Linked DNA regions of Drosophila melanogaster. The protein of the gene in region 1 interacts with the protein of each later gene in a pairwise test. Each region holds a gene or a part of one and is shown in the gene's direction. Other genes may lie near its edges. The genes, in order: CG2246, Tina-1, drl and CG7298.

Region 1 (4,834 bases):
TAAAAGGGTCCTGTTGCAGGTCCTCAAACTTAATGGGTGCGTAGGCAAGGAACGAATGGACCCAGTCATTAAGCTCGCACGTCAGACGACCCTGATGTCGCGGAACTTCGCCTCGACAATATTTTTCCAGAACGGTCGGTTTTGGCTGAAGATCCAGTATGGGTTCCATGGGATCCCTTAGGCTGAATAGCTCCATCTGTCCAGCTTCCTTCATGAGATGCACGTTTTGGGAATTCAATCGAAGTGCTGATTCGTAGGCATCATATGCGCACTGTCGATCTACCAGATAAATTGGTGTTAATACCCATTAGTTTGTCCGGGAGTATGCGAACCGCACTCAGTTTAAGTAGGGTCCTGCCCAGATCTCGATAGACCTGCCAGCGTGGTGCGCCCAGTGGATTGAACAAATCTCTGTGCCTCGAGAGGGTGTAGTTATGGGCAGCCACTTGTAGCCACTTGGCTGCACCCAGATAGTCCTGCTCCTCGTAGAGCTCCAGTCCCAAGTGATAGCAGTCCAAAGGTGAAAGATGCAAGGAACTAGTGGAATTAAGTTTCCAAAATGGTAAACACTTATATAGACTCCCACCTGCTTCGTTCATCTTTGGCAACCAGATCCGCGGGCTCGTAGCCGTAAAACTGGGTCAAGCTATGCACACTCCTGGCCGCTTTCCTGAAGGCTTCCTTCTGAGGAAGCTGCGGCAGTAGGCTCTCCACCTTCTGCACCGCCTCGGGTGCGACCAGATCCTCCATGTACACCTGCCAGCCGACCCAATCCTGGTGCATATGTCTAATCAATCGGAAGGAGTTCAGCGGATTGGAGAGGTACTTCTCCGGATCCTCGTTGGCATCTTCTATGTCGACGTTATAATCTTCCACATAACTATATTAAAAATATTTTCATCTCAATTGGTACGATTGGGAAAGGATTTCTGACGCACTTGTTTATAAGGTCGATCTTCTCCTCCAGCTTTTCGGCATAGTCACGCATATTCTGCAGGAGATTGCGCTCTAGATTCAGCATTTCCCGCACTTGTTTCTCACTTAGAGCCTTAAAACTGTAACAGCCAAGGATCAAAAGCAGAATCGCAAGCCAAAATGACACAGCCATGATTGGTTGGGTATTGGAGAAAACTAAATTTTAAGGATGAAGAACACCAAGTCCGAAATGTAATGCATTCGACTCAGCTAAATATCTGTGACTAAATAATTCGGCAAGGAAAATCCATAAATTGGATTCAAGAAACATAATACAATTCAAACCACTAATTTTTGGACCTTTTTACAAGCTTATACCGAAAACAAAACAGTAAGACAATTTTTGACACAGTGTACTTAGCAAATGCACCCACCCATCCAGAATTGGAGTAAGCGGAGTTTTCCACCCAACTAGTGCTGCCAGAAGGATGGCTACTATCGGCAAAGTAGCAGACTCCACACATCTCTGATTTCTAGGAAGTAAACAAAACATCTGATATTGTTTTTGTTTATCTGTTGTAACATTTTAGTAGTATTTGAGTTTTACATCAGCTCTACTATTTGTTTTCAGCACGATGACGTCGTCGTTGTGTCTATTCTGCATGACTCGTTTCGAAAATAAAAGCCTCAGAAACATTTTTGAAGTAGCCCTTGAACAGGGACTTTCAAAACGCAATGAAAAAACAGCTTCTGAATGTATGCATAGTATGCATGTAAATTATTATAATCTAGACGCATATTGAATAAAATGAGTACTTACTATCGAAATGATGTCATCACTAATCTCAGTCGATTATCGATATACGAAATCATCGATTCATCAGCTGTTCGAATAATTGCGAGGATTTTGTGGCAGTTTTGTCTGAGTTTTCGGAAAAGTGCGAATTAAGTGAAGCAGTGTCGTGAAGAAAAGAGTAATTATTGATAAACGTTTATTAATAGCTAATATAATCGGCGAATGTGTGATAGTGTCTCTGTATTAATTACTACTTTCTTCGGCCTGTTAACACTGCTAAAAACAGGATATAGATCTAGGCAAGAAAGAAGAGAAAACTTGAATATAAATCCATAAGCGTCGAGATAAAACAGCTAATTCTTCGAAAAGTCAACATGCTGCTGCAGCGGAACAAGTAAAACTTTTTAGCGGCTAATTTCTAGCTTTTTTCTATGATTTCTGTGTGTTTCATGTATAATTTAATTAGTGTCCCGCTGTTTGCGTGTGTTCCTCCCACCCTTCATCACATTTTCCCTGTTCTAATACGTTTTCCCTGTTCTAATACGTTTTCCCTGTTCTATTCCAGTGCCCGCGAAGATTATAGCCAGGTTTTCAATTACAGCTTTTGTTTGTCTAACCAAATTTTATCAATTGCGTGCTGGTGCTAACAAGAGCAAAACCCCACCTCCTTTTGCTTTTTACTTCTTTTGTACTGGAATTTGTGTTTGCATTTTATTTTTAGCCCGCTTTCGATGTTGTTATTGCCGTTCTCATTTTGTTACTTCATCGCCGTTTGCCTCTCCGTCTTTGTTTTGCTCTCCTCTTTCCGTGACAACGCTCTCTCTTGTGTACACTGAACAAAATGCATTGGTTTGGTTTGAATTATAATGATATTAAGTCTTTTTTAATTACTGGCATTATGAATATACATGAAAACTATATATTTCAATAAGAATATTTAATTGCGTGCGAGTCAGATCGGTCGATTAATGTTCCTTATTGATTTCCTCTCTCAAAAAGCTAAGAGAGTGAGATAAACTCTCATTGGGGGCTTTGTTGTGATCCACATGTTCCATTGACCACTTTTTAACGGACCCACTTGAACACAATGATACGCAAGAAGATTAAACCATTAAAAAGATAAATAAGTAACTTAATTGACCCACATATGCTTAAAAACCTTAAATATGGTTGTAACTTGTACAGTTCCTTGCTGGATTCCACTCAAAGCGGCAACAGCTGTTTGCCACCACCATTACCTCACTCCAGCGATCTGGCAACGCCGCGCAGCCCTCGCTTTTGCGCTCCACTGTGTCCACAGTCATTCGCTTTTATTTATACGAAAAATAAGTGTAAGAAAGCAACGTCTGGCTGCCTATTTTTTTTATTGATTTCATTCCTATTCCGGATCCGATTCCGTGTTAATTGAAAACGTTAATCAGTCGCCCGCTAGTTGTGCTCTTATCAACACTTTTCGCGCGTGTTTTCCTGCGTGAGTGAGAGTAGTCTGTACATATATTGCATTTTCATATCCCTAGGAGGTTATAGCAATATCGCGTTTGATAAAAGATAAGATAAAAGTGGCAGCTAATCCATCTAATTACTGATGAGCGATTGTCTAGGACCATTTTACTCACACTCACGTGCGCAGCGAGTGAAATTGATGCCCACTCAGTTACTTCTGTTCTTTGTTCGCCGTGAGTTACTGTAAATAACCGCATCTAAATGGTGTGATAAAAGCTCACATGTCGCCAATTGAGTGAAATGTGTTTTATTTTGTACTTTCTGGTTGCGAGCCAAATTAAGAGCACATAACAACAACAATACATGCTGGGGAGATAAGCCAACCCACTCGAAATGCCACTCAATTGCGCGACTTGTTGCCCTTCGGTTTTCCGAGTGAAAAGTGGTCGCATAACTGTTTGTTTAGAAGAAGGACAAAAGAGAAGGAGATTTACAATCCCAATACTACTGATATGAAGCTAATTCGTTATATTTATGGAAATTCTAGTGCCTACCCCCAGCTAACATAAATCTATTGATTAGATTTGGTAATAATTACTTGATTGTATCAGAAACAATCTAATTACTTGTTTCATCGTACAATGTCTATACAATCAATTTGGTGTTATTAAAATATAGACTACAATAAAAAGTAAAGGTTCAATACTTTTGAATTAATAGTTTCAACCTTTTATTTAGAAAAACAAGCAAGAAGCGTAGAAAAGACTTGATCTTGGTTATACCTAAAAAAAACTCGTCACTCTCTTCGAATCCCTAACGTCCGGGGTCATCATGTTCCACATCACATCACTGATCCTATCTCCTGTCTGCGGCATCGAAGCTATTGGACTTCAGCTTAAGGCTTCCCCTGGTCAGTTGATTCAAGTCGATGATGGACAGATAAGGCTTGGGGGGCACATTCACGGGCAGGGGAACTTCGATGGTGACCGCTGCTGATCGCTTGCCCTTGGAGCCACCAACTCCTCCGCCGTGGTCGCTGCCCGTTTTCAGGGCACCCAGTGCGAAGGGGGAGTACTGATCGTGACCTGGGTGCGCGGAGCAACTTGCTGTGGCGGCCCTCCGGTAGTTGCGGTACCCGCTAAAGCAACTGCTTCCAGGAGCCAAGGGACGGGCGGGCGAAAATCCTCCCTCGTCCGAGGATCCGCCTCCTCCACCCGAATCGTAGCATATACTTAGGTTTGTGTAGGCAATGGGGGCGTGGCATCGGGGCGTCTTGGGACGGGGCTTCACCTCGTAGCGGGTTTTCGACCGGGATCGGGAGTGGTGGGCATGGCGGTTTCGCCCCCGCCTTTTGCTCCTGACCTCTGTCACAATCGGCATGGGCAGGATGTTAATGAAGCGATAGTACTGAAGCAAAGTCCTGGCCAGATTCCTGCCCACGCGGTAATCTGGAGGAAGATACCAGCTCATTAGGAACCCTATCAGCTTAGTTTGCAGGCATATACTCACAGCCATCTTCGTTGTACAGGGAGATGGTCTTGCCATCCTTGAGGTAGTGACCGGCCATGGAGACCTCCAATGTGTAGGCATTCACCGTGTCACTGAGTCTCTCGCAGCTGAATCTCCGCATGCTGCCAGCCTTCCGTTCGTCCGCATTGAACATCGTGTGATCCGCCACGT
Region 2 (4,147 bases), on another chromosome or scaffold:
TGTGCTTCGAGGACGGATCCTGTCCCTGTGCCGATCAGTATATGGCGGGTAATCCGGATGGTTTGGTGTGTGCCGCAGAGTGCCTCCCCGGGTGCGTGGCGGCAGGTGGCTACTGCGCCGCACCAGATCTCTGTGTGTGCCGTGAGGACAGGCACTACTACTTTGATCCCCTCTCCCAAAAGTGCCGCCACAGGGCTCCCCGTCTGCTGGACCCCTGCCTTGGGTGAGTATGATTCTTGCTCCTCACCTTATCGCTTAGGAAGTGTACATACATACGTATGCGTTTATGTGCCCTTTCTCATTTCCAGGCGCTGCACACATGGCAACTGCTCCTCCGACGGACGGTGCATCTGTGCCCAGGGATACGAGCTAAGGGACAGCCTGCTTCATGGACAGCAATGCATGCCAATCTGTGATCAGTAAGTTTGATTGTCGCTATATCTTTTCGCCACACTTGCCCTAAACTGTACCTCCAGCAACTGCGGACCACGAGCTTACTGCTTCGCTCCTAACTTGTGTGCCTGCCGGCACAAACAGCACCATTATGCTCACAACGGCATCTGCTCCGGGAACTATTGACCTAGAGAGGAGGTTTGACAGCAATGGGGCTGTTTTAGGTCCCGCTGATGTCGTATGGATTTTAATATATGTATTTATTGTTTAGGTTCATGATTATTTATGAATTAAGCTACAAGACTATGTTACTCTTTTTATTGATTTAAAATTTTTATGGAAAGGCAATCTTGTCTTTAGAAACTGTAAGGAATAACATAAAATATAAAAACAGCTTTAATCGCCTCATAAAGTAACCTATAATTTGTCCATATTAAAATACCAACTTCAAAAACGCATTATGCATATGTATTATATCGATTTATCTAACCTGAGGAAATATGAGAAGCACTAACTTTATTGAGTGCTTACCCTTTCATAATGAATGGGCAACAATATACAATATGTAGTTACGCTTGATAGTTCGTATTGAGTCCGAAAACTAAAATGCCTTACCTTTCGCAGGGCACAATTCAGAGAGCGCAGTGAGATTTTGATTTTAAAGAGCGCATGTCAACTGGTTTGGTTTTGGTGTTGTTGTTGCCGCACCCCCTCCCCCACCTATCAACCAATCAATTACAAAGAGACTTTGTTATTGTTTATAACAAATCGGACACATGGAAGTGCAGAATATTACAATATACAGTATACGATTTCCGATCCCCACCGATCAGCAGAGAAACTGAAGAAGACATGCGTACGTGTTCTCCAGAGGCGTCGCCAGCGAACTAAAATGCTGCTAGGGGGGGGTATCATAGAGGGAGCGTGGATCTCAAGAGGGACTTCTGTGCTCAGATGTTATTAGGCCATTGATAATGCCCGAATTTTAGAGTGTTTGTGCTTGCGGGGCCTATAATATTTCGGGTATTTCAACTAACCCACACCCCCCCCCAGAGGATATTTCTTAGATAAAGACCAGTCGGCAGAACCGTCATTTTTAGCTTTGCGCGTGTGGCGTGTTATTGTTTTACTTGTTGTTGTTCCACTAGAGGCGGGCCTCTTGGTCTTGACGACAAGGCACACTGGGCAGAGTCAGTAAACAGGGCAAATAATATTTTCTTCCTTTTTCCAATTTTGATGAAATTGGATATATACCATAATTATTATTTAAGAATTGCTTTTCCACGTAGTGTCGACTAATACTTTCATATGCAATATATTTATATAAGTTGAACCAATAACACGTTGTGACTTTGCTCCACTGTGCCAGAAGCAATAACAACAACAACAGTGGCAGGCGGCAGCACCGTGTCCGCCGACGTTGTTCTCCATCACGATTTAGTTGGAGTTTTGCTGGCCATCGGCGCGGTTGTATCTCTGCTGGAGCTCGTGCACACTATCCTATCCAATCCCGAAGAGCTCTCTCGCCTTTGCTTAGTGCAGCAATTTGCAATTTTAATTATCTGCAGGCGGTTCGACAAGAAAATGGGCCAAGCAAAGGTAAGCTGATTAAGAGTGCAGCACAATGTGAAGCCCACGCACACATGCACACTTTTAGCTTGTGTATACGCATCCCTTATCCTTCGTCCTTGGCAAGTGGGCAGCCCCAAATGGAAAGCGTGTAAAAGCCTGAGAGCTTGGGAACTAAATTTAAGGCATTTTAAGTTATCCGATCCATCGGAGGGTTATCAGATAGTTTATTGGAATTTTTAAGATATCTACATATGTATGAGTGTGAGCTGATGCCTGTTCTGGGTTATGTAAGCGGATTCGCCAAGATGCTTTGATGCAACCGTTTGATGACATTGATTTAAGGCCGCTTGCGTGTGTTATCCATTTACTGCAATGATTAAACCGATTTAAGCAATTATTAATGTGCCAATTACATGTGTACAGATAGCGAGTGTCTCCATACATATGTACCTGTGGAGGCGTAACTGCTGCGCAGTTTGTGAGGCACGCACTCAGCCCCAAAAATACGAAACAGCTACGTACATATATTAGCAACAATAACAGACTTTAAGAATAAACGTGTGAATGCACGAAACCGGTTGAGCCATCCCATTCTCGCCCAAAAAGCGGTTCAGCTGAGAATCTCGCCAAACACCGAGACGTTTCGTGAACCTTATCAATAACTTGCGGGGGCTAGCCAGTGGAAAGTGTTCGGATCCCTGATCCCTGATAAGCCACGGCGATCGATTGATACCAGTAGAGCAAACTCTCACAAGATACCACCAGTTTATCAGATCTCTAACCTAACCCTACTTATCTGTCTTTACGCCACACCCACCTCTCACGCACTCCACAGAAAGTCTCCTCCGCCTTGAGCAAGCTCTTCGTGTACGGCGCCCTCAAGTACGGACAGCCCAGCAACTCAATCCTGGCCAGCTCTGGCAACGGCTTCGCTAAGTTCTGGTGCAAGGCGACCACCACCCAAAAGCTGCCGCTAGTGATCGCCACCCGCTACAACATTCCCTTCCTGCTGAACAAGCCCGGAGTGGGATATTACGTAACAGGGGAGATCTACGAGGTGGACGATCGAATGCTGAATTCCCTGGACAACCTGGAGGATTGCGAGGAGATCTACACTCGCGAGATGCACGATATGAACATTGGCGTTGGAGAAGGGTGAGCATTAGTCGGATCTGACGTCATTTCAGCAATGTGGTGTGATGGGTCACAATTTCCTTTCCAGAACCGTTCCATGCTGGGTGTACCTGCTGCAGAAGTACCCGGAGAACCTACTTAGTCTGCGCTACTTGTCCAGCTACGAGAACTCAACCACCCATCCATACATTATGCGCCATCGCCGCACCCACAAGCATCCGGCCCAGGACGACCTCACCTACGAGGCCCAGAACTAATAACGTGGGTTGTGGTGTCGCCCGTTTGTTTGGATGTTCTCTGGATAGCCTGGCCACTAATCTTATGTTACCGTAGTTGCATTTTAAGACCGTACTTGCAGACGCAGATGTACTGATCGATATATACCCGTATATATGGGCAAACGATATAAACTGATACATATGTACCATACGCATTATTTAGGTTTTAGCAAACGTAGTCTGTAATTTGATAGTTTTCGACAAACAAAGCAAATAAACTGAAGCAATTTAAAATAAAATAAAATGCCCCTCGTTCTATTATAGAAGTAAAGATGCTGGACAGCAGTCCCTGGTAATTTTCCACAGCCCAGTGCCGAGGGCTTCAGTTTCTCGCGGTGTACGGAGGCTAGATTCGGTGCGAATGGCAGCAAGAAGAAGAGCGGACGGGTTATGTCGACTGCGCAATCTACAGGTCGGATTTGATAGCACGATACCGCTTGAAACTGATAAGCCTGGCGGCGGGAAGCGCAATGGCTGAAAAGCTGAGAATGGCGGCAAGGGTCTTTGTGTATGGCACGTTGAAGCGCGGTGAGCCCAATCACCACTGGCTGACGAAAAAGGAGAACGGCCAAGCCCGATTCCTTGGAAGGGGGAAAACGGAAACGAAGTTTCCCCTGGTTGTCGGAACCCGCTACAACATCCCATTTCTGCTCGCCCGCCCGGGTGAGGGGAACCACATAGAAGGCGAAGTCTACGAAGTGGACGAGACCATGCTCTCCAAACTGGACATACTAGAAGACTACCCGGACTACTATGATCGCGAGCAACAA
Region 3 (4,616 bases), on another chromosome or scaffold:
GCTATGATATGTTTCTGCAGTATGTGGAAAATCATGTGTTCGAACTGCAAGTGGATGTGATGAAGGCCATTGTTTTCGGTTTGTAACAAATATATATACTTGTTTTCATATACTGTTCATTTCATTATTGCTTAATGTATTCCTTCAGATATTGAAGATTCTCCACTGGGCATTGAGCGGAAGCTATCACTTTTGTCTGCTCTGCCCAAGCAGCGTGCTCAAAGGTTACTCAAATGCTGGCAGCATCCGGACAGCCTTATGATCCGCGGACGCGAGCATGCGGCCAACATTCTGTCGGGTCAGCAGCAGGAGGTGTTGCACCAGCAGCGACCCACGGCCTGCGTGAATCAATCGCGAAATAATGCGCGGAGCGGTAAGATCTTGCTTGGTTAGCCCGCCATAAACACGTTAACTTTTCATTTGTACACTCTTCACCCGAACACATCTCGTCCAGCTTTGGGCAAGCCCAACACTGTTGTTTGTCACTCGCTGCTTTTGGTTTTTCTGCTTTTCATTCTAACCACGGTCGTCCTGAGCATATCGAGCTATGCGTTCAGGCAGCGCCCTCTCATCTGGTAGAAAACATTCCCATCGCTGACCGGTAAGAAACGCTGTTCAGTGTTCGCCAGTCGTTGTCCCATTTGCACATTTTGTTTCTTGTTATCTAACTTAACCATAGCCACCTCTCTAATGACCAATTTGGTTGGTATTCTTGCAGATCTAACTGCCGAAGCCCTTTCGCCACTGGACTCCTTTCTGGACCTGCTGACTGCGAAGGCCAGTCTAAACGAATTGGACTACAATCTGCTTATTGAAACTACTCTAAGCTCCATCGATCAGCTGAAACTGGAGGCTTGAATTTAATGTTAAGAGTAACTAATGAAGTATTGTGTCAAATTATCAAGTACTTAGCCAAGGCCAGTTTGCAAATATTCCAAAGATTTGATTTGTCAAATGTATTAGTTAAGATTCTTCTCGTGCAGCTTTGATTTTTGTTAGGGTTCTTCTGTGTGCTTTTAGTATTAATTTTCTGTTCCTATTATTTGTGTAACGACTGATACACATTCCAAGTCTGTAATTATAAATTATTTATGTTGTTAATTGATGTACCTAAAATCATGTACGTATTTATATATTCTGTACTTATTTATTTTATGCTTCTGCAAGCTTCTGTCTCTCTTTCTGTAATAAACTAACGATTTATAAAGTATAAAATGTCGTAATGTTTATTTTTGGCAACATGAGTTTAATTCGAAATTGAATCAAACACAATAAAAAAAAGTTAAAAGGTTAAAATCATTATATTACATCATTAATTCGAATTCATTTGGGAAGTTTGTGGGTCTATTTTTTAAACTTTATATGAATGTTTGTTTAGTTAATTTAATAAAGGATATCGAACAGTATGCCAGTTTTGGTATTTAGCCAATTGGAGATGTTCGATGAGATGTTCGAACTGCAACCGAGTTCGAGGTTCCAACACGACTGTTATACGGGTTCCAGCCTTCAAGTTCTACAGAACAAGTCCACGAGCGCCACACACAGTCCACAGTCCACACTCCACTCCGCTCGGCGTGGAAGCCATTCGCTTCGTGGCGAAGTGTTTGTTTATCCAGTTGACAGTTTGTGGAAAATCGTCACGGTGAGCGGATCAAACGCGGAAAACGAACGCGGACGAACGGCGAGAAAAGCGAGGAAAAACGGGTGCAGAGACAGAGACTGATTGGGAAATATGTGCGCCTGAGTTTTCCCGGCCAGAAGGCAAAGTGCCAAATGCTCTGACAAATAATTCCTGTAATAATCAGCGCGATTGAAATCAACGCGACGCTCGTAAAATTGCAAATGCAGCGCAAAAAGTGAACAGCAGTGCAGCGGAAATTAAATCGTTTTAGCGAGTGCCAAACGGGAAATAGAAAATCGGCAGAGTAGCCGAACTGCAGTTAAAACTATCTCTTCCTCTTATTGCGACTAAACAACCGGCGGATTAATCGAATCCGAAAGATGGCCCCCAACTTGCTAACAATCGGATTACTTTTGACCCTGATCGCCAGCGGTCAGGCCCATCTCAATATTTTCCTCAACTTGCACGAGGTGCTGCGCCTAATCGGTAAGTAATCGTGTTGATTTTCGCCTGCCTTTTGGCTTTTCAATTAACTGGGCAATTATTTGCCACTTTGTGTGCGTTCGTTCGACTTTAAATCAAATTTGATTTATGCCAAGCCGGGATTTTGTCTCCTGGGCAAACGAATGCGACTTGCTGGGATTATTTACTCTTTTTGCGTAAATAATATATGCCTTTTAATTGTTTCTAGCCTCGGAGCTACATATAAAGTAGTATTGTCCCTCCTTCAATTGGCCAGCTCACCGAGAAACAAGAAAACATTCTATTTGTCTAGCATGATTTCCTGTTTCTTTGATTTAATTGTTCGTTAGACTTATCTAGATAAATAGAAATGCTAAAGCGATTTAAATTTGTATTTCTTTGCGTTAAATTAAATTCGATTGGCAAGTGGATTCATCTCTAGATAAGTAATCCCTCTATAATCAAAGTTTTTATTTAAAAAATCATATTTTTTCATAGTTTATCCAATTTAAAACAATACAAAACAATTTTAGATATATTTTATAAACGTCTTCAAAAGAAAATAAATAGTAAAATCATGTAGTCAAAAAATGACACCAAAATGAGTATTTAAATATTTAGTTTAGTTTAGTTTATATTATTTATTTAGCCTAACTATTTTCCATAGAAGAATACTACTCTAATAAGCTTAAAAATCCGAGTGACTGATTCTTAGCCCTTATCAAAACAGATTTGTTTATCTCCATCTAATAACCAGGTTTCCACTTGGCCAAGCAAATCGGCTTGGGATAGCTCGAGTCCGCAGCCCAAGTACCTTTAATCTACTTTTATATTTATACCTCGCCCCGATCCCCATCCCCAACCTCGTCTTCTTGGACCCAAGCCATTCCCCGCCAGAAAGAAACACACACAAATCCTGTCGAAGAGATTGCCAAGCTAATAAAAGTGGGGAAAATTGTTTTACAATGTGTCACAGGGCCCAGACAAAGAATTTACAACCCAGTGAATATAAAAAATAAATCAGTAGCCTCAATCCATGGGCCAAAAGGAAAGGGTGAAGCGGCCCAAGTTGTGCCACATCCATGTGGCATCATAAAACACATGCAAAGTGTTTGTTTTGTAGGCAGTGTGTTCTGTGGATCGGGGGCGCAGGGAGCTGTATAGCTGATAGGGAAAAATTATCAAAAATTATGTTGTAAAATTTACAACACTCGCGTGTTTGTGCCTCCGGCTGATTGATGGGCGTCAGGAGTTTCGGAGTGCGGAGTGCGGAGTATGTAGGTACGCAGATTGCATCGCGTCACTTGTGAATAACTGGGTAAATATTTGAACTGCAGTGCCGGGCTGCTAATCAGGCGCTTATCTAGCCGCTTATCAGCGTCTGCCACTCGTCGTAATTCATGTTTGATTGCAGTTCTGGCCCCCGAGTCCTGGCTGCTCCACTACACACCTCGCAATCAGTTGAAAGCGCCAGCAGACAATCAATCAAAGGCGATACGGCAAGTGGGTGGGATGGTTTGCTATGGGATGGATGGCCAGTTGAGGCTTTCCACTTGACATGGCAGCGGAAAATTTATTAGTTGTGTCAGCCGAGTGTCAAACGAAATCAGCATTAAAACCCATTAAGCGGTGGCCGCTATTCATTTTTCGCCCGATTCCCGACTCCTCCAATTGCACTTTCCCCAGAGGGTTTTTGGTTTTTGGTTTTGGGCTTTCGGGATTGGGTGGCGATACCCTCTCCAATTATTCAGCGCTGACAGCGGGTTGCATGCCTGACCTACTTTCCGAGACTTCACTGTGTGTGTGTTCGCAACGCCTGGCTAGGTGTCACTCTATTTTATTTTATTTCACTTTATTTTTTTAGCGGTCGCTTCAAAAGCCTTTGTGTGAGTGCACATCAATTAAATTGTCAACCCAGGAGCAGAGTGAAGGAGAATCGCCCAAAGAAGAGCTCCATGCACTTGCATGCAGCTGCGGCATGGCATTCACTGTTCGTTAGGCTAACATCCATACCCGAACACATACCCATAGCACACATGTTCCATCCCATGGCCCACCCACTTCTCCATCCAGAAGTGCGCCCCAAATTGCTGTGCTCTATGCTATGCAAACCATGTCAGGTGTGGATCAAGCCGGGCGGCGGTGGCGAGGGTCTTCTTGGTTCGGTGGCTCTGTGGCCCAGCTCGTTAGCGAAATGAGCGGATATGTAAAGTCGGTGCAGTTGATGGATTTTGCGGTTGCAATGAGTGACCAAAGTTGTCGGCGTTGGGTGTGGATAGTCAAGGGTAACACGTTATCTAAAGGGAACTACCATTATTCCATCTTAGGACACTGATCTCCCAGGCTTTGTGGCACCCCACTGTTAATGGCAAGGAAAGCAATTAAATTCATATAGCCAGAACCTATAACATCCTATAACATTCGGAAAACTTTTCCCCCGCCACACACTTGGCTCAATGGGGCTTTTAACTTTGCCCAACTTTGTAGCCCTGCCAGCTGTCTGAGCAGATCCCTCCCTAATCCATGTAACCCA
Region 4 (3,981 bases), on another chromosome or scaffold:
GTGTGTACAAGAACAACTATCCATGCAGCGAGTCCGCCGGTGATGGCTCCACTGTGTCGGTCGCCCTCAACCTATGCAATCTTGTCAAGAATGGCTTTTACTTTGGAAGCCCTTCCGACTGCAGTGGCTGGAACTTCTGCCAGGACAACGTTCTGCACTCGGGATCCTGCGAAGATGGTCTAGTATTCAATGTGCAGGCCAGCAACTGCGGCTACAAGATGGCCTCATCCTGCGCCCAGGTCACCAATGATCCATCCCTGACCGGAGTGTCTGCTCCGACCACATGCTCCTCGTCGGGAGCAACGATCGCAGCCACCGCGTGCAACCAGTACTACCTGTGCTCCGCCGGCAACTATCAGCTGATGACCTGCCCCTCGGGATACTACTATGATACCATCTCGAAGGCGTGTGTGACCAGGATGGAAGCGAGGAACGACTGCGACAGATGTGTGGGCACCACTGCGACCTTTGTAAACGCCTACTCGGCAACCAATTGCTCTGATTACCTATACTGCGTGAACGGCGTTCAGAAGGCCGTGGAGAGCTGCCCCACCAACTACTACTTCAACGAGAACCTCGGATCCTGCGTAAACGGGTTGGAGCCCAAGTTCCTCTGCTGCAATCCCACGCAAAGCGATGGAACTTCGACGTCTTCCTCTGGTTCGACTTCCTCGGGCTCGACTTCCTCCGGATCGACTTCCTCTGGGTCAACTTCCTCCGGCTCGACTTCCTCTGGCTCGACTTCCTCGGGCTCGACTTCCTCTGGCTCGACTTCCTCGGGCTCGACTTCCTCCGGCTCGACTTCCTCTGGAACTTCATCCACAACCTCTACTGGAACAAGTTCAGACAAAAAATAATTTAAATAGCATTTATGCCAAAAATAATAAATACAAATCAAGTTTGGCAACTCAATTAAAAGTATCCACCCAAGTTATTCGCACAGTAATAGGGTATATGAAGTAAAGTGTTCTAAAAAGGATATATATTCTTAATTCGGATAGGAAATCGGCAAATAAAAGAGCTAAAATGCCCAAAAAACTGTCACCAAATGCGACAAGAATAAAGGAAAATTTCCATCGACGTACAGAAGATCCAAGGAAATACCATCAACACTTTATTGACCCCATATGGCAGGGCAATAAAGCCGAAATTAAAGATTGCCTGAGCGAAAAGTTTTTCATCGCCAAACAAGTTTTACTGGGCAGCGTCAACGCCATACAAAAGCGATAAGAGTCCATTCAATTTAAGGTGTAGCTGTTAAAGTTACATAATATACATACATTATACATATAACAAATTTAAACCATTTGCTAGAAAAAGTTCTTATTTAAATGAATAGCATTAATTAGGGTAAAATATTATATTATTTTTAAGAAAGGGTCGTTTTCTATTGCACAACATTATCCCGATTAAAAGACCTTGATTTGATTAATCTTACAACACTATCGAATGAAAACCCCACTTTTCAGTTATTGTACAACACTAGGCTTAACTACACGATGTTTTACTTTCCAAGGTAGACCTACACCATTGATAAGGATGTGGCTGCGTCAGTTGTTTGTTTTTTTTTTTTTTTTTTATTATTAAGTTGCGGAACAGATAGAAATAATGACAGATAAAGAGCTACTTAGTGGTTAATACAACTATACTTTAATTAAAATCGGTTAAATAACACCCCGAAAAGATGTTCAGCGTCTATCTGGTGGAATAAATAAAAAATGGAACAATGTTTCACTGTCTATAATTCCTGAGAATAGCTGGGCTTATCTACATTCAATTTACGATCTCGATGGCCAAGTTCGAATCGTAGACCTATAAAAACCAGGCAATGGGAAAACTCCACCATCAGTCTTCGACAACCTTTCATTGGCCGATACAAGTGGTATTCGATCCCCAACAGCGGCAAAAAGTATTACCAACTAACGATGACAGGCAAGTGTTTCGCATGGGATATGATCTGTGGTCTATGGTCGAATAAACACCAGGAGTTTCGCTAATTGATTTGCGTGATTTCTGGCTTGCAGGCAAACTTCTACTGGCCACGATCCTGTGCCTAATGGGCGGCCAAGCCTTGGGCGATGCGATTCTGGAAGGAAACTACAACGTTACGGCCGTCTGCACGGCGGTTAAGGTCGGAACGCAGCTGGGCAGCATCGAATCCTGCCAGACGTACTACGTCTGCCAGTCCACCGGACCCGTGCAGTCCTCGTGCCAATCAGGCTACTCGTACGACTACAAGAGATCCTCCTGCTATCCAAGCAGCGAGGTGGACTGCTATTGGGGCGTTGAGAATCCCTGTGCTGGCAAGAATAACACCTGGGTGCCAAACACTGCCGTTTGTGGTGGATGGTTCTACTGCCTTGAGGGCAAGTCGGCGGGCTCCGGAAACTGCCCGGTGAACCAGAAATTCGATACCACCACACTCGCCTGCGTTTATGGAACCTGCTCCAACACTCAAGGTACTAATGAAACCGTGCTAGAATCACTATGCGATGTCGTGCCACCTGGCCAATATTTCGGCGATACTGAGAGCTGCTCCACCTGGCACTACTGCGAGTCCACCTCCACCGGACTCGTTTTGCAGTCGGGTAAATGCTCTGCAAACAATCAAACTGTGAGTTACCAATTGCAAACCTACTAAATCCCTGCCTAGATCCCAAAAGACATGACAAGTCCGTTAACCAAATCTTTACAATTTCTTACATCCTTGATATGAAATCCAATCATATGGAAAGTTAACGAACTTTCATAGGCACCTCGATCATACTGGACAATTACCTGCATCCTTTAGTGAATGTGATTTACTTCTTTCCGCAGGCATACAACGTGCTCGCCAATCAATGTACCTACGAAAGTGCCTCCGTCTGCAGCCGTGTGACCAACATTCCGCTGAGCGATGCCGCAGTTTCCTGCTCCACGAACGGTGCCAAGTCAGCCGATCCCAAGGTGTGTGGCACCTATTATGTGTGCACGAACGGCAAAAATGTGGCCACCTACTGCCCCACTGGCGACTACTACGACGACAGTTTAGGGTACTGTGTGTCCCGCCAGGTCGCCACTCCGGTGGCGGGATGCAATCGATGCCAGTATGCTACGTCGACGTTTGTAAACGCCGTCGATTCGAATAACTGCTCCACCTACTACTATTGCAACAGCCAGGGCGAGGCCACTTTGAACACCTGCCCGGCCGATACATTCTTCGATGAGTCACGTCAGGGATGCAAGTCCGACGACGACCTGTCCACATATGTGCCATTGAACGGAGCCTGCAAAGGAGCCACCGCCGAAGGATCAGAAGAAACCGATAATAGTACGACCGATGCCGAATAAGCCCAATTATCGTGAAGGGCTTTCAGGTTGGAACTCAACGGAACAGGAGTAACTGACAACGCGACCCTATGTATTTACCACTTAGTATTCAGTATCTAATAAATGCAATAAAAGCTATGTTCGCAAGCAAATCGTGGTGATTTTCCTTACCCAACAAGATGTGAGAAATTCAAAAGGAGATACCTTTTGCAGCATCTGAATATTCTATTCTTCATGATAAGTTCGAGGTTTTTCTGGGCTCAAACCAATGCTTCCTAGGAAATCATCTAAAATTATTGAAATAACAGCTGATCTGGCTGTAGAAAGTGTATTACTTCATGTACATCGTTCGAAACTGGTTGATTAGGATATATTTAGATGACTGGTATTTTTAGAAGTGAGCATATCGCGCGCATCACTTCACTGAATGATATCTAAAAACTCAAACATTGCGATCTGCGCAGAATGCAAACACAAGTTTTCGATTAGCTCTTACAAATGGGTGTGGCCCATTTGAACGACCTTATAAAAGGGTCGGTCGTGAATCGGCCGAACCATTAACATAGGTAGTTTGGAGTCGCAAAGAACCGTTATCAGAAGTAAAGGGCACTATTAACTACAATGCAATGCTCCTGGGCATATGTCCTGGCATTGAGCATCTGCTTCCAGTTG

Evidence for each region.
Region 2: the proteins of CG2246 (region 1) and Tina-1 interact in a two-hybrid assay, tested with the Drosophila melanogaster proteins (one large-scale study listed by BioGRID).
Region 3: the proteins of CG2246 (region 1) and drl interact in a two-hybrid assay, tested with the Drosophila melanogaster proteins (one large-scale study listed by BioGRID).
Region 4: the proteins of CG2246 (region 1) and CG7298 interact in a two-hybrid assay, tested with the Drosophila melanogaster proteins (one large-scale study listed by BioGRID).

What each region holds. Positions count from the first base shown.
Region 1 is NT_033777.3:30,598,472-30,603,305, reverse strand, and holds the start of CG2246 (uncharacterized protein), read left to right. Parts: upstream 1-1,816; 5' UTR 1,817-2,085; coding exon 2,086-2,105; intron 2,106-2,982; exon of another isoform or gene 2,983-3,387; intron 3,388-4,009; coding exon of another isoform or gene 4,010-4,602; intron 4,603-4,663; coding exon of another isoform or gene 4,664-4,834. Other genes in the region: CG31021 (uncharacterized protein), read right to left, coding at 1-279, 338-537, 587-880, 939-1,021; CG31019 (uncharacterized protein), read right to left, coding at 4,010-4,602, 4,664-4,834.
Region 2 is NT_033778.4:24,940,095-24,944,241, reverse strand, and holds Tina-1 (troponin C-akin-1), read left to right. Parts: upstream 1-1,828; 5' UTR 1,829-1,977; coding exon 1,978-1,992; intron 1,993-2,121; exon of another isoform or gene 2,122-2,800; coding exon 2,801-3,120; intron 3,121-3,187; coding exon 3,188-3,356; 3' UTR 3,357-3,617; downstream 3,618-4,147. Other genes in the region: CG15861 (uncharacterized protein), read left to right, coding at 1-223, 309-419, 477-579; CG2811 (uncharacterized protein), read left to right, coding at 3,848-4,147. UniProt on the Drosophila melanogaster protein: Putative gamma-glutamylcyclotransferase.
Region 3 is NT_033779.5:19,188,728-19,193,343, forward strand, and holds the start of drl (derailed), read left to right. Parts: upstream 1-1,614; 5' UTR 1,615-2,001; coding exon 2,002-2,107; intron 2,108-4,616. Other genes in the region: pigeon, read left to right, coding at 1-78, 149-373, 719-858. UniProt on the Drosophila melanogaster protein: Probable coreceptor of Wnt proteins. Involved in neuronal pathway recognition and ventral muscle attachment site selection. Non-vital for development. May be part of a signal transduction cascade involved in learning and possibly memory.
Region 4 is NT_037436.4:20,201,547-20,205,527, reverse strand, and holds CG7298 (uncharacterized protein), read left to right. Parts: upstream 1-1,840; 5' UTR 1,841-1,925; coding exon 1,926-1,932; intron 1,933-2,024; coding exon 2,025-2,614; intron 2,615-2,817; coding exon 2,818-3,330; 3' UTR 3,331-3,458; downstream 3,459-3,981. Other genes in the region: CG7290 (uncharacterized protein), read left to right, coding at 1-857; obst-F (obstructor-F), read left to right, coding at 3,931-3,981.